Neodiprion lecontei: one gene and its partner. The protein of the gene in region 2 binds, or shares a complex with, the protein of the main gene of each other region. Links are inferred from orthologs where the notes say so. Each region holds a gene or a part of one and is shown on either strand. Other genes may lie near its edges.

What was found.
Region 1: the proteins of dehydrodolichyl diphosphate synthase complex subunit DHDDS (region 2) and dehydrodolichyl diphosphate synthase complex subunit nus1 are in contact, whole or in part, in a crystal structure (PDB 7PAX), measured with the Homo sapiens proteins. The link is inferred for Neodiprion lecontei from reciprocal best matches to the Homo sapiens genes DHDDS and NUS1. Residues at the interface, in NP_995583.1 of Homo sapiens: Arg37, Arg38, Glu81, Asn82, Lys84, Arg85, Arg159, His160, Ile162, Ser163, Val166, Arg167, Met169, Ala170, Trp171, Val173, Glu174, Pro180, Ser181, Ile183, Ser184, Glu185, Leu188, His199, Glu209, Val210, Arg211, Leu212, Ser213, Asp214; in NP_612468.1 of Homo sapiens: His137, Gln138, Pro193, Glu194, Lys197, Ala198, Ile200, Val201, Ala204, Gln205, Phe207, Cys208, Gln209, Val211, Ala212, Arg217, Pro218, Thr219, Leu221, Asp222, Val223, Leu226, Asp237, Pro246, Val247, Asp248, Ser249, Thr250, Leu251, Gly252.

What each region holds. Positions count from the first base shown.
Region 1 is NC_060262.1:1,017,033-1,026,150, reverse strand, and holds dehydrodolichyl diphosphate synthase complex subunit nus1, read right to left. Parts: upstream 5,218-9,118; 5' UTR 4,915-5,217; coding exon 4,611-4,914; intron 4,514-4,610; coding exon 4,391-4,513; intron 4,088-4,390; coding exon 3,838-4,087; intron 3,668-3,837; coding exon 3,577-3,667; 3' UTR 2,180-3,576; downstream 1-2,179. Other genes in the region: arginine/serine-rich protein PNISR, read left to right, coding at 1-22, 101-266, 339-1,165; uncharacterized protein LOC107228169, read left to right, coding at 6,066-6,140, 6,431-6,566, 7,191-7,246, 7,341-7,472. UniProt on the Homo sapiens protein: With DHDDS, forms the dehydrodolichyl diphosphate synthase (DDS) complex, an essential component of the dolichol monophosphate (Dol-P) biosynthetic machinery.
Region 2 is NC_060266.1:23,979,334-23,987,756, forward strand, and holds the start of dehydrodolichyl diphosphate synthase complex subunit DHDDS, read right to left. Parts: upstream 5,764-8,423; 5' UTR 5,753-5,763; intron 4,258-5,752; exon of another isoform or gene 2,769-4,257; coding exon of another isoform or gene 1,810-2,768; intron 1,709-1,809; coding exon of another isoform or gene 1,532-1,708; intron 1,427-1,531; coding exon of another isoform or gene 1,273-1,426; intron 779-1,272; coding exon of another isoform or gene 767-778; intron 194-766; coding exon of another isoform or gene 13-193; intron 1-12. Other genes in the region: PH-interacting protein, read left to right, coding at 13-193, 767-778, 1,273-1,426, 1,532-1,708, 1,810-2,768; dystrophin, isoforms A/C/F/G/H, read right to left, coding at 6,527-6,633, 7,107-7,214. UniProt on the Homo sapiens protein: With NUS1, forms the dehydrodolichyl diphosphate synthase (DDS) complex, an essential component of the dolichol monophosphate (Dol-P) biosynthetic machinery.

The DNA of each region.
Region 1 (9,118 bases), on a different chromosome or scaffold from region 2:
TGAGGAACTGCTGCAACTGAAGGTATGCTCGGTACATTGCGTGATAATTATATGAATTGAAGAATTAGATCAACAGTATGATCAGTGTTGGTTATTTCAGGAAGTCTGGAAGCGACGGCAACAGGCGTTCAAGAAGGTGGAGGAGGAGATAGAGGCTCAGCTTGCGAAGGACGAGGAGCAGGAGTTGCACCAGCAGCAGGAGGAAGATGGTCGTCATAACAAGCAAGAGGATAATCATATGGGTAATACTAGCAGCAATGACTTAGGTACGTTACACAAAATAATATTTTTATTGTTTGAAAATGATTGAGAGCGTAATTTGTGACGTCATACTTTAGTTGATGAAAAAGAAACGATAAATAATCAAAGAGAAGCATCAGAAACACTATCAAGCGGCGGACAAACGCCGCAGCGGCGAAGTGTTACCACAGATACAGCAAAGGCGAGGTCGCCGTCAAGATCGGCGGATTCAGAGTCTAGCAGTGGCGAATCCAGCAGCTCCAGTTCCAGTCTCGCTTCTGTGAAAACGGGCAGAAAATCTAATAGAGATAGTGAGAGGGATCGGAGAAAAAAGAGGTCAAAGAGCAGGAGCAAGTCGAGAAGCAAACACTCGAGATCCCGATCGGCCGATAACGATCATGGCCACAGGCACAGACACAGGTCTCGCTCGCGGTCGCGGTCGCAGTCGCAGTCTAAAACTCCAAAACGGCATCGCTCAAGATCGAGCAGCTATAGGTCAGGAAAGAAACACAGATCGAGATCTTGGGAAAGGAAAAGATTGCGGTCGCGATCCAAGGACAAAAAAAGCTCGAGATCGCGGTCGAGGAATCGAAAGAGAACAAGATCACGAACACGTTCACGGGGGAAGAGGAGATCGAATTCCCATTCTAGGGACAGGAGAAGGTCTCGATCCAGATCTCGTGACATCAGGGAAAGAAGAAGGAGTCGTTCTCGAACGAGAGAGCGGAGAAGGAGTAGAACCCGTTCAAGGGAGAGGAGGAGGTCTCGGTCGCGATCAAGGGATCGTAGGAGGTCTAGATCTTATTCTTCCAGAGGCAAAAAGAGGAGCCGTTCAAGGTCTAGAGATAAGCGGAGGTCACGATCCAAATCACGTTACTCGAGCCATCGTGACGGTAAGAAGTCATCGCGTCGGTACAGGGAGTGAACCTGTCCACCATTTTAAACCAAGGTTGTATTTATATTCTTATTATTAGAGATCACAGATTAAAACAGACTGGTCCATAGATGACAATATCAAAAAATACGCAATCACGGGCTTGCTTTTTTGTGTGTTTGCGATTCTATTGTAATGACTGGTTGTCGATAAGAGATACGGTAGACATTTCACAAAACAAGGGGGATAATATATTATTCTAATCTACATGGACACATGAATGTTCACAACAGACGCCATACGTTATTTTACATTTCGTCGGGTGAAAACCATCCAAACAGCAAAAACCCAATTCTTGTACCCGACTGAAATCGATCATCTGTATTAATCTGTTCCATAAAGTAATTAGTCGATAGCGTCTCAAGAGTAATTATCTGCAAAGTTTTAGAATCGAATCGTTCGTCTCGATTTTTGCTGATACAAAAAACAAGACAAAAAAGAAAATACGAAAAATATCACAAACCAGGCCAATATAAGTGTTCAGAATAGGTTTTTGGAATATCGTTTTGTTTCAGCTGGTACGATTGGCTTGGCAAACACGTCTACTTCATACCGCAGAACCACTTCCAGCTTTACAAAACTTCCGCTTTGTTTCATCAATGTTCAACACAGTGGTACAGTTTTCTTTTAAATATACTTAGCATCGTTTTTCACTCTCTTCCTTTCTCTTTCTATCTGTTCTTTTAACGAATAATGAGATGCACATGACTTGATAATCTTCTAATAAGAATGATAATAATAGTAATAGTGTCCCATTACAGTTCAAGTTGATATCAGTCAGTTGCCAAAACTTATACATATATAATTTAAAACGTTAACACGGACTAAAGCGTTTGTGTAAATAATAAATATATATTATAATCACTTAGATCCGAGAAAAATTTATTCTCTTCTTGCTACCTTCTTAAGATATAGCGGAAAATGAATTTTATTTTAAGGCCTTGTCTTTAACAGATAAATCTACTTAATCGAACCAATTATGGAAAGAAAATAAAACGCAGCTAATTATCATGAAATACTATGGTAGTTTATTGGAATATGGTTCATGGGTGATCAGTCCCATTCTAAACTGTATGATACGTTCACATATCTTCTTATTATTTATATAATTTATGTATACAATATTTAGATGCAGTATATACACACACGTCGATTCATCTGACCAATGATCACAAATTTTTTCCATGGAATATTTTATACTTATGATTTATAATAATTTACATCATCACACGATACATACCACTGTTGTGAATACATATTATAGGTAGTTTGTTGTCGGTCGGGGAAAGCAAGACAGGAATACTGTCTAAGCTGCAGATTTTATATTTCTTAAGATAATTAATCTGAAATGAACTTTTCTTACAATGCGTTTCACCTAGAAATTTTACGCAATAATTTTTCGCGCTAGATCAATATTTCCCGTACGGCTCCATAATTTATTCTTCACCTTTTTAATTGCTACAAAATATTGGAATATTTTCAAGTGTCGGAAATCGCGCTGAAGCTTGTTTTATACTTATACATGACAAATTTCATTCGTGAAAATAAAATTTCAATAATAATAAAAATTGCTCCATTGTACCATTTGAACAAAAATACATTACAGTTAGATGAATTTATTCCTGGTTGTTAAAAAAGCATAGGTGGCTGGTGTTATATTAAACATCAGTTTAATTATCAGTGTACGTATGCAAATAACACTTAAAATTCATCCAATATTTCCTTAATTTCATACGCATCTATTGATTATTAATTTAGATTAATTTAACGTCGTATAAATACCTTCTATACTGCAGCATAAGAAATTACTACTCCCGATAACAAAATTGTCAGCACGAGAACGGTGCATTGAAGCAGACTCGAAGAAGGACATCTTGTACAGTGATTGCAAATGTTTAAATGTTTACCGATTGTCTGCCAAAATTTTTACTATTTGTTCATATTCTAACATATAAGTAAGTAAATATGCTCAGCAATACAGGTTGTCACGTAAGTTGAGAGATGTAAGGAATAGTTGTTCCCTTTTATTTTTTTTAAAACCAACGAACTGCGAAATGTTGTACATACACGTGGGACAAATAATTACATTCTTGCCTGTAGAAGTTGTCCTTCTCTATTCACCGGGGCTCGGAATATCATAGAATCAAGAAAAAAAAACAATAGTACACCTGGCTGTACATACTACGTAGATATTTGTATATTTGCACTAAACAAGTGTTACCTATATGTCTCATTAACTTCCTCTTTTCAGTCTTTTGATCCATGGTTAGTTCAGCACGAAGTATGAATCCCCCTATATTCGTATGTATAGATACAACAACCTGTGACGATTGACCGGGTTGAATTTTCTTGACAGCCATATGATACGACGTGTTAAAATTTAAGATCCTAGCAATTTTTCATCACTTCCCGTACCGCTGTTCGCATTTTGCGTACTTCTCCAATAGGTTGACAAAATCATTGACTCGTATATTGTGATGACTCTCCAATAGGCTATAAAAGTAAATGTATAATAAATAATTTAAAGACATACCAAGCATATCGAATTACAAAGTAAGTTACAACTTGAATGAAAATAACGTTCGCCATGCAGTTTCCAAAAGCGACAACTTTTTTATAGTACTAATAATTAATGATTTGGAGTCACCTATTGCTCAACTTACAGGAATTCCGTGGTCCTTATGTGCCATGGAAGTAGACCATACGTGCTACACGTTTTTCCACAAACAACAGCTAGATCGGGATCAGGGAGTCCCCCGAGTTCTAGCTTGTTCTCAAGAAGGTCAGAATTGATTTCTTCCAACTTCAGTGCTCCAGTGATTACCCCCTTTCCCAACGATTGTGTGAGTAGTGCCACTTCCCTTTTTCCATCTGTGTAGGACAATAGCTGCACTTGCAATTTGTGCTTCACACCTGTGAAATGCGGTAAAAATCTTTATCGAATTCAGTTCAGGCCACAGGGCATGGGATAAAAATGGGGAAATTTATGACATTAGTTTCGATTTGCGTGCAGGTTTTCAAATATTATATTTCACCAGTACCGAACCTTTGGGATACATGAGAAAGTTTTAACTCAATTACGCGACAGGAGACATAGATCGAGTGCAGCTTTGAAACACGTTGGAGCGATTAAAGCAAGCGTTGAATGAAAGTTATGACTATAAGTGATAGATTTTCTGTGATGCGTTTAGTGGCAAGTTGAAAATGCAGATGTACCATTGAGACCGTTCTTAACGGCTTTCACTGGACACGTCGAATTCCAGTTGACATGATCGACCAGCTCGGGTTTGAATTTAGCCAGCGCTCTCCTGGCTTCCTCTTCGTTCTTTCGCAGTATACCTGAAGAAGTGATAAGAGGTGAATAATAAATTGCAAACCCAGAACGGTTGCACCGTCGGTTAACAGTTGTCACATGCAACATGTACCGTATAATTACCATCGTAATCGTAGAAACTGACGCAAGGTATGCCGGCGGTTGCCGACCACGCGATAACGCGGACGATATCGCGAAGCGAGGCTCGTTCGCGTCCTAGAATCAGGACAAGATGCTTCGGGAGGCGGGTCTGATCGACCCTCCGAACGCAACGTACGAGGTAATCGGCGTCCGTAAGGACTTTGCTTCTACTGAGGTTAAATAGTTCAAGTTGAGCCGCGTCCGTCCACGCCTTCCGCAGGAGGGTGATAAACGCGTAAGAAATATGCAGGAGGGTCAGAAGCGCTCTGTAAAACTTGACGAACATATTGTTCCACGGTATTTTCACCCACTTTATACACCATAATAAATACGGGGATCTATTTATCAACTCATAACACAACGCCGCGTGTACGTCTGATTCATTCACGTTGAGGACTGATTACTACCTGCTACGGACAGCCACGGGAACACCGTCTTCGGGGCTCGGGCACGGCGATCAGCTGCTACGTCGGCCAATCACGTGCTGACATTTCTCGATTTGTATGTGGAACAGCGTCTCGACCGTCTCGACTTTGGATCGCCGCTGAGTTGACAAAAATCAAATGGTCCATATCGACTCCGTTCGTATTTTGTGTCAACGATTTCGGTGTATCGTTCATCGATTTTTACTATCGATCTTGCAACAATTGCCACCCGAAATTCAAATTTCGCGCTTTCGGCGGCCATGTTTTATATAGGGTACGCCAACTGGTGGCAAGAATGTGAGCTTAGTGGGAGGATTTATTAAATTTTTATAAAGCAACTTCCGGAATGTCATTATTGAAACGTTTTCGACGTAACGTATTTGTGCATCCACGGATGCAACAAATTATTTTCAACGATGACATTACGAAAGTTGATTTATAAAAATTTAACAAATCCGCCCACTAAGTTCACATTTTTATCACCAGTCAGCGTAAAAGTCATGTCGCACCGTCCCTACATCATTGTTTGTCCATAGACTGGTCAAATTCGGTATGAAACTGTTAAAATAATGCTAAAAAAGAACAGACTTGTAAAATATTAATGAATTGTGAATCCAAAAATAACCCTGCGTAATAATTTAGTTCTTACATTATTGTAACCCAACCACAGTTAATTATTTCTGAAACAGTGCTCAATTGACTCACGATACTTCCGTGCCAGATGGCGTTCAATGGCGTTGTTTCCGGTGCCGTTCTTTGCATCCTGACCGTGTAGTTGGAGGTGAGTCAGACATATTGTTAACCGAAATATACTGATTAGTGATTGAATTGGGGGTTAAATAGTGGCGAGAAAAGCTTAGACGTCGTATAATTGATCGATTCTGAATATACGAAGCTGTTTGAACCTGCAAAGACCGTTTCGATAGCGTTGGAGCCCCGATCACTTTTCTAACCACACGTGTTTACGGCGTGACACTGATCGTGTGATTTTTCATACCAGACAGACCTCATCATGCAGTTACACATCCGCGGACAGGAGTCCCATGTCATAGAGTGCCATGGCGATGAAACCATCGGTCACATCAAGGTGAGCCTCACGATTTGCTGTCCAGATTATCCCGAAAAGTTTGGAAAGTTCTGGAAGAGTTCTTTAATTGGCCTGTCAAGCATTATAATGATAACCCGGCGACAAGGAATCCTCTTTTGCTGGAATGAGCAATAATGCCAGATTAAAATTAATCCAGATCTCAGGGAGCCCGAAGTTGCATAATTACTTCCGGCTTTTCATAGACCTTGAACAAGACAAACTTACAAAATTTAGTATTTTCTTTCCGGATCCCTAAATTCGATTCTGACTTGTCGTGAATTATTTTCTAGGCGCAAGTAGCAGCCATCGAAGATATTGACGCTGGTAGCCTCAGCCTTTCCTGCGGAGGAGCTCCCTTGGAAGACGATGCTCTTGTCTCCGAACTCACAGCCTTATCCTTGGACTTGACCGTGCCCTTGCTTGGAGGTGAGTTTTTCTTCTATGTTTACTTCTAGTTTCGTTTCTTCACTATGCATCGTCGACTTTCTACCTCTGCTATCGTCTTATGTCTGATATTTAAGCAACGATGCAAACTTATATGGAACTCTATTAGCGGTAATGAACGTCCAGCTGTTTTCGATCTCCGCTAAGTTGTCAAACGTATTTCGACGTTGAGAAAGTATTCGCTGTTTGAGATCTTGTTTTATTTTCTGTGTCGATTTCTTACTGATTTTGTGAAAAAGTGACACTCTGATGCTCAATTGTGTCAGCAATAGCTGTTTTGTTGGAAAATTATACACACTGTAAACGAATGCCTGGAATTTTGCAACTTTGAGATCTGTGGAAGCCCCACAAAGTCATCTACTGATATTATCTGGAATATAATCCCACTTGAAGAAAATGCATTAAAATGATAAACTGTTCGATGGTCTTTGTCATCTAACGGAACGAGCAATAATGCGATATCACAAAGCAGTTTAAAGTGAGTCTATAGTTTATCATTGGCTTTAGTCTTTCATGAAATTGCGACAAAACATACCTTTTCATCATTACCATCATGATTTCCATATCTGAATCTATCTTATCGATATTTTTTCCCCTGTTCGTTAGGTAAGGTGCACGGATCCTTGGCTCGTGCTGGAAAAGTAAAGGGACAAACTCCGAAGGTGGGTAACAATAGTTTGAAAGAAATGTCGACTTCATTTCAATAACCATTTGTAATGATAAACATAATAATCACACTGATCTCTCCGTTTTTAGGTTGAGAAGCAGGAAAAGAAGAAGAAGAAGACCGGCCGTGCTAAGAGGAGAATACAGTACAACCGACGATTCGTTAACGTAGTGCAAACGTTCGGTCGTCGTCGCGGACCCAACGCTAATCCTAACACGTAAACAGATTCCTCTTGTATTCAATAAAATAAGGACGACGACGACGATGATGATGTAAACGCGTCGCGTTTTTGTAATACCATGTAATTATAAGAACAACTGATAATACACATATGCGTCGCAAATTTTTACCCTTACAATTATTAAACCCAAGTCCTTTACAACAGGTTAACATGGTATATAAGTATCCCGAACCTTTATTACAAGTTAACACTCAAGTGATAAATAACTGCGTTCACTTGAGCAATATCTGAAAATTTTACGGAGATAGGAAAGATATTTTTATAATTTATTCTCTACCGAGTGGTAAATTTTCGTATGATAATTGAGTATCTGAAATGTCAGAGAATCTTGTAACTGGCCAATATTTTGAATGTGATCGTTAATCTGCTAGGTCCCTTCAGGTAGAGTTTGGTAAACACCAAACGTGATCCGGCAAATCTACATGCGCAGCGTAAACATCTCTAATTATAGGCAATTCAAGGTACCCATGTACACCGAGCAGAACTTCGAATTGCGGATTTTTTTCTTGAAACCGATAGCGCTCGGGTCGCCCCGGCGTAACTCGGAGCGGCTCACAATCAGTGAACTTGTACCTTCAGTTGCCTATGATCGGGAATCGCTGTGTAGTCCGGTATTTACTCCTGATGCTGCCTGCAGCGGCAATTCAGTAATATAAACATCTGACTGCGTTGAGGGCGCAGTTCGCGTCGCTCTTTCGACCTGTCGCGACTTGCTTCAGAGCAGCGGGAGTGTAAACATGCATTCCGACGGTCCGACATTTATATCGTATTGTTCAAGCTGTGTCACGTGATTCGATCAGTGTATTCACAACAAACTCATCGATGAATAATACACGACCGGCAGCGTATGGCCTAGAGAAAACAGAGATTCTGCAGTAAGCATAGCCTGTCAGCATTGAAGGTGAGTTACATGTCCAGCGAAGCCAATTTGTTACTTGAGTTTCAGTGAATTCGCTTATTGTGCATACTCGTTGTTAGAAAAGTTCGTTAGCCGCAGAAACAAATGACGTCGCTTTTCTTTGTTTGGCGAGTTCGAAAAATTCGTTGCAGTAGTTACAACGCAGAAAGCGATTAGAATTGAGTGATACGTAGGGTTGGGAAAAGGGATCTTGGCAGTTGGTGTAACACCTTCGTTTGATTGTGAATCGTACTGTTGCGTTTCGCGTCTCTCGTGCGAATACACCTCGATAAAACCCAATTGTAAAGCATTTATTATCGCATGGTTGGCTTTTGCGTTTTGTTCCTCATGGATCGGAAGAAATTTATCGGGACGATGGTCGAAACGAAGAGTTCGGATCGGTTGAGGCTCAACGATGTGTTGTGTTACATGAATGTAGCTGCGTTTGCGGCGGTGGTTCGTGCAACGTGTCGTTCGAAATCGAACCCCGGTTCGCGTTTGTTTGTCACTGCGAGGCTGTCTTCACATTTGGAATCAACGATGATGTCTCCTTCAAAATTTCTTCCTGGGTATCGGTACTGTACTTGTTTATTTCGTTACGTCTCAATTTATTATTGTAGATCAAAGGTTGATGCATGGTGTTGTTGTCTCTAAAATTTAGAGCGCCTTGAACTCGGAGTGTCTTCCAAAGTTGCAACCGAAATACGTATATATACCAGTTATTTTTG
Region 2 (8,423 bases):
TCTAATTTGCAGAGAACCAGTTGACAGACTTGAACACCCCGATTATTACCAAATAATTGATACCCCAATGGACCTACGTACTGTTAAAGAAGATTTACTTGGCGGAAACTATGAGACTCCAATGGAATTTTCTAAAGATATAAAGTTAATCTTCACAAATAGTAAAAATTACAACACCAACAAACGATCGCGGGTGAGTTTATTTTAATAGCAGCCTAATACGCAACGTGAAATTGTCAATGGTCTATTCTGAGAATAGTTTTTTGATCGATGCTGCATGAAAAAACTATTTTTTTTTCTTTGCCTTTAGTCATACTTTCTCACGAAATTGGGAATAATTAAATATCAAGCATTGTGAGTGACTTGTATCAATTTCCAACCGATTCCAATGTCATGTTGTAAATTTGACGAATACTTTTGGACCAAAAGTATATCAGGAAATTGAACAACTTTTGTTGAAACAACCGATTTTACAATATTACACAAGATAACATCGCCGATTATTTGTTCTTATCACATTTATTTTTCACACTGTGGTAACTAGCCACTTACCAGAATGTACCTACAAAACGTACGCTAGTGATAATTACTTAATTTAGCACGCTTGATAAATCCTGATGGTAAAATCTATAAAAATGAACAAAATAATCGTACCGTACGTAAAAGAGTTAACTACTCAGCTAGTTCCATTCTGCTAAGTAATACTTGCAGTGTTATTCATGATAGCAGTTTAAATATTGTATAATTGCATTGCTGCTTGACGTAGACACAGATTCTGGTAAGTCGCATTCATTTATTGTTAATCATTGGTGATGCAATTTCAGTGTACACAAGATCTGCCATCGATATTTCAGTATCAATTTCAGTTCTAATATATTATGCCTATCATTTCGAAGATTCTTAATCAATTTGTTAACAACATTAGATTGTTATTCATTTTTTATAGTTATCTTGTGACGTTGATAGTAATCCATTGCTTGCGCTCCTTTGCTGGTTCCTTTAAAAACGACGGTCAATTTCTTAAATACACCTTCTTGCTCCGCAATCGTCCATCTTACTCTAGTCTATACCCCACAATAATCAATGAATTCCTGTACGACAAATCTCGTCATTATTTGTTAAGGATCTCCCTTAATGCGCATATTTCAACCTTGTATATATTTGCATACTTCACCACAATTGGGCTATTTTCATTTTGGCATGTCCAAACGGTTGGACTATTGTGGAGCATAACAATAACATCTTCATTTCTATTTTATATTATCTTGACAGATATATTCGATGACAGTAAGACTTTCCGCCATGTTTGAGGAACATATGCGAAGGATTTTGTACAACTGGAAGTCTGCTAGGAGACGCAGTCAAATCAACAATGGGATGGCTAAAGGGAAAAGGAAGACCTCTGCACGTTTAACTAACGGAGCTGGTAAGATTCACTCACTCTTGTCTTTGGATGCAGGCGTGCTATGACGTCATTTTTTTATTACTTATATAGTATTTTCATTATTCACTATTGTTTATCTTTTCACAGGCTCATCAAGAGTGAGACCACCCCCAAGCAGTGCCGAAGAAGAAGAAGAAGAAGAGGAAGAAGAGGAGGAGGAGGAGGAGGAGGAGGAAGAGGCGATGGATGTTAATAATGTCGACAAAAATGAAAGACAATTGGCACCCAAAACCACCAGGACTTTGCAGAATGCTGATGGACCTGGTAATTGAATACGAAGCTTAGACACGAGTATTTAATGTTAATCTTATGATTCGTTGTCCTTTTTAATTGGCTTTTTTATTTTTTTTTTTCTTTTTTGTCAGGCCCCTCTCGACTAGCTAACGGTCATGGTACCAGAGCTGGTGGCGGATCTCGTCCAAAGATTAGTCTCAGGATATCTCGCAAGGTGACACCAAGTAAAAAGAATGGTAACAGCGATAGCGATCAAAGTGATGATTCTGAAGCGACGATTGAAAGTGAGAGCAGTGACAGTGCTCCGATGCGGAAAACTCGGGCGGCGAGGAGGACCGTGGTTAGCAATGGGGCGGGTGATAGTGATTCTGGGGATAGTTACAAGCCAGGGGGGCGTGGCAAACAGACGCGAAAAAATAGGGCTAAGAATGGAAAGTCTAGTCGACAGAATAAACCAAAAGCTAAACCGTTCGTAGTTGCGGATGACGATGATGACGAGGATGAAGATAATCAGTTTATGGAGCCTGAAAGTACAGAGGATGAAAGCGAGGCGGAGGAAGTTGTTACGAGAAGTTCGAAAAGACAATTGCGAAAACTCGCGCCTGTTCAAGATGTAACAAAGCAACAAGAAAAAGAAGACGAAGATGAAGATGACGATGAAGAGGAAGAGGAAGACGCAAGCGAGGACGAAAAAAGTAAGGAAGAGGAAAGCGACGATGAATCGGACGAAAAGGAAACTCGGAGACAATCTGCAGCTCAAAGATTGCGTATCAATCAAGATAGTGACAGTGAAACGTCGGATGTACCCTTCGAAACTGCGAGAAGTAAAAGAAACGAGAGAGTGTCTAGAGATTCTGACAGTCAAGACACCGGCATCCAACCTCGAAGATCTGTTAAACGACCTCGTTATAACGTAGATAGCGATGAAAGTAATTCCGTACCTATAAGAAATCGGCGAAAAATTAAACGGCGATATTATAACGAAGATAGCGACGAAAGCGTACCCGAACCTGCCATTAGTATCAGTAGTAGAGGAAGAGTTAGAAAAATGACTGCACGTGCTAGGGCATTTCTTCTCGAGTCACCCTAGCGTCCGTCTCCGAGTTAGTAATAGTTGAAATGATCAATAATCAGTTCTCAGAAATTACTGATCGGAAAAAAAAAAATTTCCGTAATTCATAATCAGATAAACCCGGTCTAGGAAAAAGTGTTCAGACTAATCCAGTACTCACTTTAACCACATGTTTATAGAATGTCGAAAACCGACAGGTAATTGAACATAGTGAATAATGATTACGTCTGATGAAAAAACCCCAACTATGAAAATTATGCGCAATAAGGAATCAGTTTACAATTTAAATAATATTTATCCGTCCAAACTTTATCCAAGTTTACTACAATCAAGAATTTCACCAACACATTTGAGTCCTGGATGAAGGTCTGAAAAACGTTCAATAAATTGACAAGGGTCTGTAACGAACTCTTACCATTCGGAATTTCGAATCCGTCTTACCAAAGACAACACAAGATATACATAGATCAATTATAGGTAAATATGTTCAACCATCTGAGTTAAATCATGAGATAGCGGACCTCGAAAGCGGCAGTTGACTTCAATTCGAGGACAGGGAACAGAGTATTGTGTCTATATTGTACATGTAATAATTTATACCTTTGTTGCATCCAAAGTAATAGTCTTTTACAATATTGTTTTATGACAACACCTCTCTGTTCAAGAGCGTTGTAATAATAGCTAGCTAATACAGTTAATACTTCGTTACTCATATGCGTTTTTCTTACATAATTATTAATAATATTACAAAGTGATAAATATCTTTGGGTGTGACGGTCACATTTTTTCCGAATAAAACGTTACGCTCGTAGGCACGAATAAAACAAGAGATAAAATAATGAAGAAAAAAAAACAATAAAAAAACGAAATTTTGCATACAAACAAACATCAGAGCAATTGTAAGCTACTCTCCGTGGCATTTTAATTCACGAATATGACATATTAGTAAAGTTTTATAAATTCTTGCAACGACACGATGAGATCATTAAGATATTTGAATTAGAGAAAATATTTTTGAAAACGAATTCAATTGACTATGTTAAATTATGATTCATTTTTTCCAGGTGTACTTATGTTTTAAAATACGTTTGCCTGACATATTTTTTTTAGATCATAAGATATAGAAATGGCAGTGCCTTTGTAAATCATAGTTATTCTCCCAGCATACTGCCACTCATTTAGCATAAAATTATTGAATCAATCAATCAATCAATCGATGATCAGGAACGGTTGAAAAGAAGAATAAATAATAATATAGTGTTTGCATTGTTAACAATTATTTTATTGTAATTCGTAAGTCATTTGTTACCAATACATTGGGTAATAAGAGTGTTTTTCTAAAAGGCGTGCAGCGTCGTTGCTTTTTTTTTCTCTTTTTCATTTTATTGTAAATATAATGTTTGTCCGGGCAGCGCCCTTTTCCGGACTACTTAGAATCGGAACATTTATCGTCAGATGATATGTGTGTTCCTCGCTTACATCACGCGTATAATAAGTTTCAAATTATCTTTGCGAGCAAAAATTATAACAAAGCGAAAATTGACATTTTCATTTCTTTTTTTTTTTCCTTTTTAAATAGCACATTCATAAAAAGACAGTGTAACGAGCCAGGAAAAATGGAACGAAAAAAAGAACAAGAACATGACGTAAATGAAAAAACTGTTTAAAAAAGGTTAAAAAAAAAACCAACAAAACAGTTGCGGTTAAATTCATAAATGTTTTTTTTGCTTCCCTCCTCAGTTCAACCGCTGCAAAAATGCTCTTTCCGTATATAGGTATATAAAACGTGTGTATTGTATTATAAGATCTATTCATATATTATTAATGTATAAAAAATTATAAAGTATACAATTCTCGAATCAACAAAGTAACGTGGATTAAGAAAATAATGTTTGTGCACAACTGCTGGAAGTCTTGACTGTCTCAAGCCATTGTGATATTAGCTTAAGAATTATATTCAATTAATAATAATAATAATAATCATAACAACAACATGATGGTAATAGTAGCATTAGCAGTAGTAGTTGTAGTAATAGCAATAATATTAATAATAGATATAACAATAATAATAATAATAATAATAATAATATAAATATTGATGATAAGGTAACGATGGTTATTTTTTTAACGAGGCATTACTATGAGCAGGGCATATATATCATGTCGATTTCACGATTTTGAAGAACATTTTGACTGAGATTGCTATAATTTGGCAATGTATTATGTACTACGATATACTGAAAATTTATGACTATGTTTATAATACAATAATTAACATATTTTCACGAGATATGACCTCTAAATCACTGTTGCATCAACGTAAACGTTGCGTAACTAAGTATACATACATAGGTATGTAGGTACGCCGTTAATTAACGATAATACCCTATAGAAGACTTATTACAGGTGAGTGATACGAATTAAAAGATGTTTTTCTTTATTAACGCGTGGGCTCTGTTTAATATCTAACGAGAACTTCGTGCTCAGTTATATACAGTGTAGTTTCTGCGTCCCACCGCTACGAATAAAAATTGATACGAAATTATTTCTAAACGACGTTGTGTCATTCAAACAGCGATCCCGTTTTTTGTACATACATTTAAATGTTTTACCGATATATTTTACTTACTCTTTGATTTTAGTGTTACTATGAAAAACTTAGGGGGCGTAACAACAGTTTACATTATACGATATACATGGTACGAAGGAGAATGTAAAAAATAACAGGGTCGATACTTTTATTGCGGAATGTGACAATTCAAAATATATCCAATCAATCGCTGTTGGAACATGATTTGGAGTAATGCTACGGTTCCATGAAAAAAATAACGATCATTGTGTTATCTTTCTTGCTTTCAATAATTTTACGGAACGTTTTATCCGAACAGTATCAAGAGAATCTCCCATGCCATTCGAAAGCTACGTAGTTTAAAATATATTTGTTTCCCAAATTTCTCTTTACTAACGTTCGGTTATAAACTTACAAAATTAGTGTAGTACACAATCGGAAGAGGCTTTTCAAAATAAAATCAAAATAATGTGATATTCTTTCTTTTATTATTATTGAATACAAAATGATTACTTCAACTTAAAAATTTCATTATTTTTTTCACTTGTGTGCTACCTGCAATATTGGCCTTTTTCAAACTCTACGGTAATTGATTGATTTTATTTATTCTGATTCTTGCCTTTAAAAAAAATTTAATGGCAGTGGTTAAACAGAATGGTCATGTAAATATAGTCTACACTCTACAGAGTATGCAGTTTGATACATTGCTTTTTCATGCATTAATAATATTATTATTATTATTGTTAATAATAATTTTATATATATTTATAATATTTTATCTTCATATTTTATAGCTACTAAGCATTAACAATTGATTCTTTGTATGATAGGTCCGTGATATGATAAGCCAATATGTAGTTGATTTCTTCTTCTATTTTGCAGGGGAGCCGCCAAAGCCAAGCCAAGTAACAGTTTACATATTAATTATAATTCAGCTATACAAATTGTATATCAAAACTTATAAAATACCCAAAACCACGCTGGCGGCCCTCATCCTGATCCTGCATTTCACGTAGTTAAACTACGTTCAATATGTCTCTGATATGCGTTAGAGCCAGACTCGTTCTTGGTCGTCATTTACAATTAGGTTTATAAACCGTACATACCTATAGTATGTATGTGTTAAATAGATGATATATTTAAGGGATAAATTACAGTCGTCTCATCTCGGTAATATCCAAGGATGTTATTTTAATATGTGTATAATCTATGGTTTAAATCCTGGCGGCGGTGGTGGTCCTCGTTGCCCGTTTGTTCTTGACGGATCTTCCGTCATTACTGTGACCAGTTCCTCGACAGCCTTACCCAAGTCTCCTGTAGATTAAAAAAAAAAAAAAATCTGCATTCATACGTGTTATCAAAATGAGACGTATCATGAGCCAGACATTAGCAATGTTGAAATAATAACATCGCGAATTAGTATGCAAACATACATTAATTATAAGAAAAAATCGGTAGTTTTAAAACATTTTTCATCGTCTCAAATACGTGACAGCGAATAGAGTAATCTTACCTCTTACATCCGTCCTGTTGCGTGAAAGCAGTTAAGCATGTTTTGTTAATTTATTGTATGAAATGTGATTAGTTTTACTTGTTTATTTCTACTTATATCGGATTGTTTCGCAGATGCGCAATTTCGATACGCCTGTGCGTGGGCAACCGATGCCAACAGAGTAGCACGGGTTGCCTGCACACAGGCGGACCCTATGGGTTCGCCTGCTTGTGCATCTGCGAATACGTAGAACAAACACAACAAGCATGCGATAATCCCTTTGAAGCGTACCGACCTGCCATGTGCATCAGGTTGCCAACGTTATGTGATATGCTGTGCGAATGTGGCGGGGGTGGCGGACGTTCTAGACTTCCTGCTCTGCCTTCACCCCATCCTCCACCACCTATGCCCATAATACTACCTCGTACACCAAATACCATACAGTTTTTCTATTCGGTCTCAGACCTTCGAACGCCTTGCAAATAATGGCTACGTGTTCACATCGGGACTAACGCTGGACGTTTAAACCAAGTTGACAAACTGCGATGAAATACTTGATGAGATTAGCGTTCGGTATGCTCTCTTCAAGTTCAAATTAGCATAATACACGCGGTAGGTACGTTAGAATCGCAACAAAGAATCCGGTATTTCTCTTTCACCTTGGCCGCTATTTTCAGACGATTCGAAATTGTGGGAAGTTTTAAACACATATAAGTAGGTAGAAACGTTGATGTTATATGACGAACATATTACAATATTAGCTTTTCATATGTTTATTTATTAACATCAACGTGGTCGTGTTTGTACCTATGTACTTACATATGTTTAAAACTTCCCGCAATTTCGATTCGTCGGAAAATGGCTGGACTGTTTTGTAGGAACGAAGCTAAGGCGAGATTTTCACGGGCAGTTTTTCGCTGTCGCAGCGTAGCGTTGCTTGTTGCGGCGGCATTTTGCTGCCCGTGATAATCCAGCCCAAGTTACGAAAGTTGCTCGCAGCGCCGTCTGCGACAGAAATTTGGCCCGAGAAACTTCTCCCTTCTCAGTTAGTTCGCCGCAGTCAACGATTGATGAAGTCTATGGTTTGACGCGTGCGCAATCTGCTGTCGGTCGCGAGCGGAAATATTAGTTAATTTAAACTTGTCACGACGCCGTATTATAGGTATGTGCGATAAACTTTCAGCGACATGTTTCAAGTGTGAGTGATTTGTGTGTGCGGTAAAATGAAGTTTCTGCGGGTAAAATTCGACTTTAATCAACTCGGTGCCAGGACGCAGCAGCGGGGTCACCTTAAAGGATGTTTTCAAACACGGTTGTCGACACAAGTCGCGCGGACTTGCCTCATTCCTGCTGTACAATCGCGAATATTGTAAGTTTGATGTACGGTATATTACGTTCGATAATCTAGTGAACGAAAGTTACACCAAGTGTCGTGTTATTGTCACGTTTGTGTACGCATTGTGCGCCGATTGCGTAGCATATAATTATCGGCGGTGATCAGTCGTTTAAAAGCTTGCATAAGGATGAAATGATTTTAATAAAAATAGACCGATGTTGATACCGTGATCAAAATAGCAGCTTCGACTATATTTTGATCAGACTGGATTTCGGT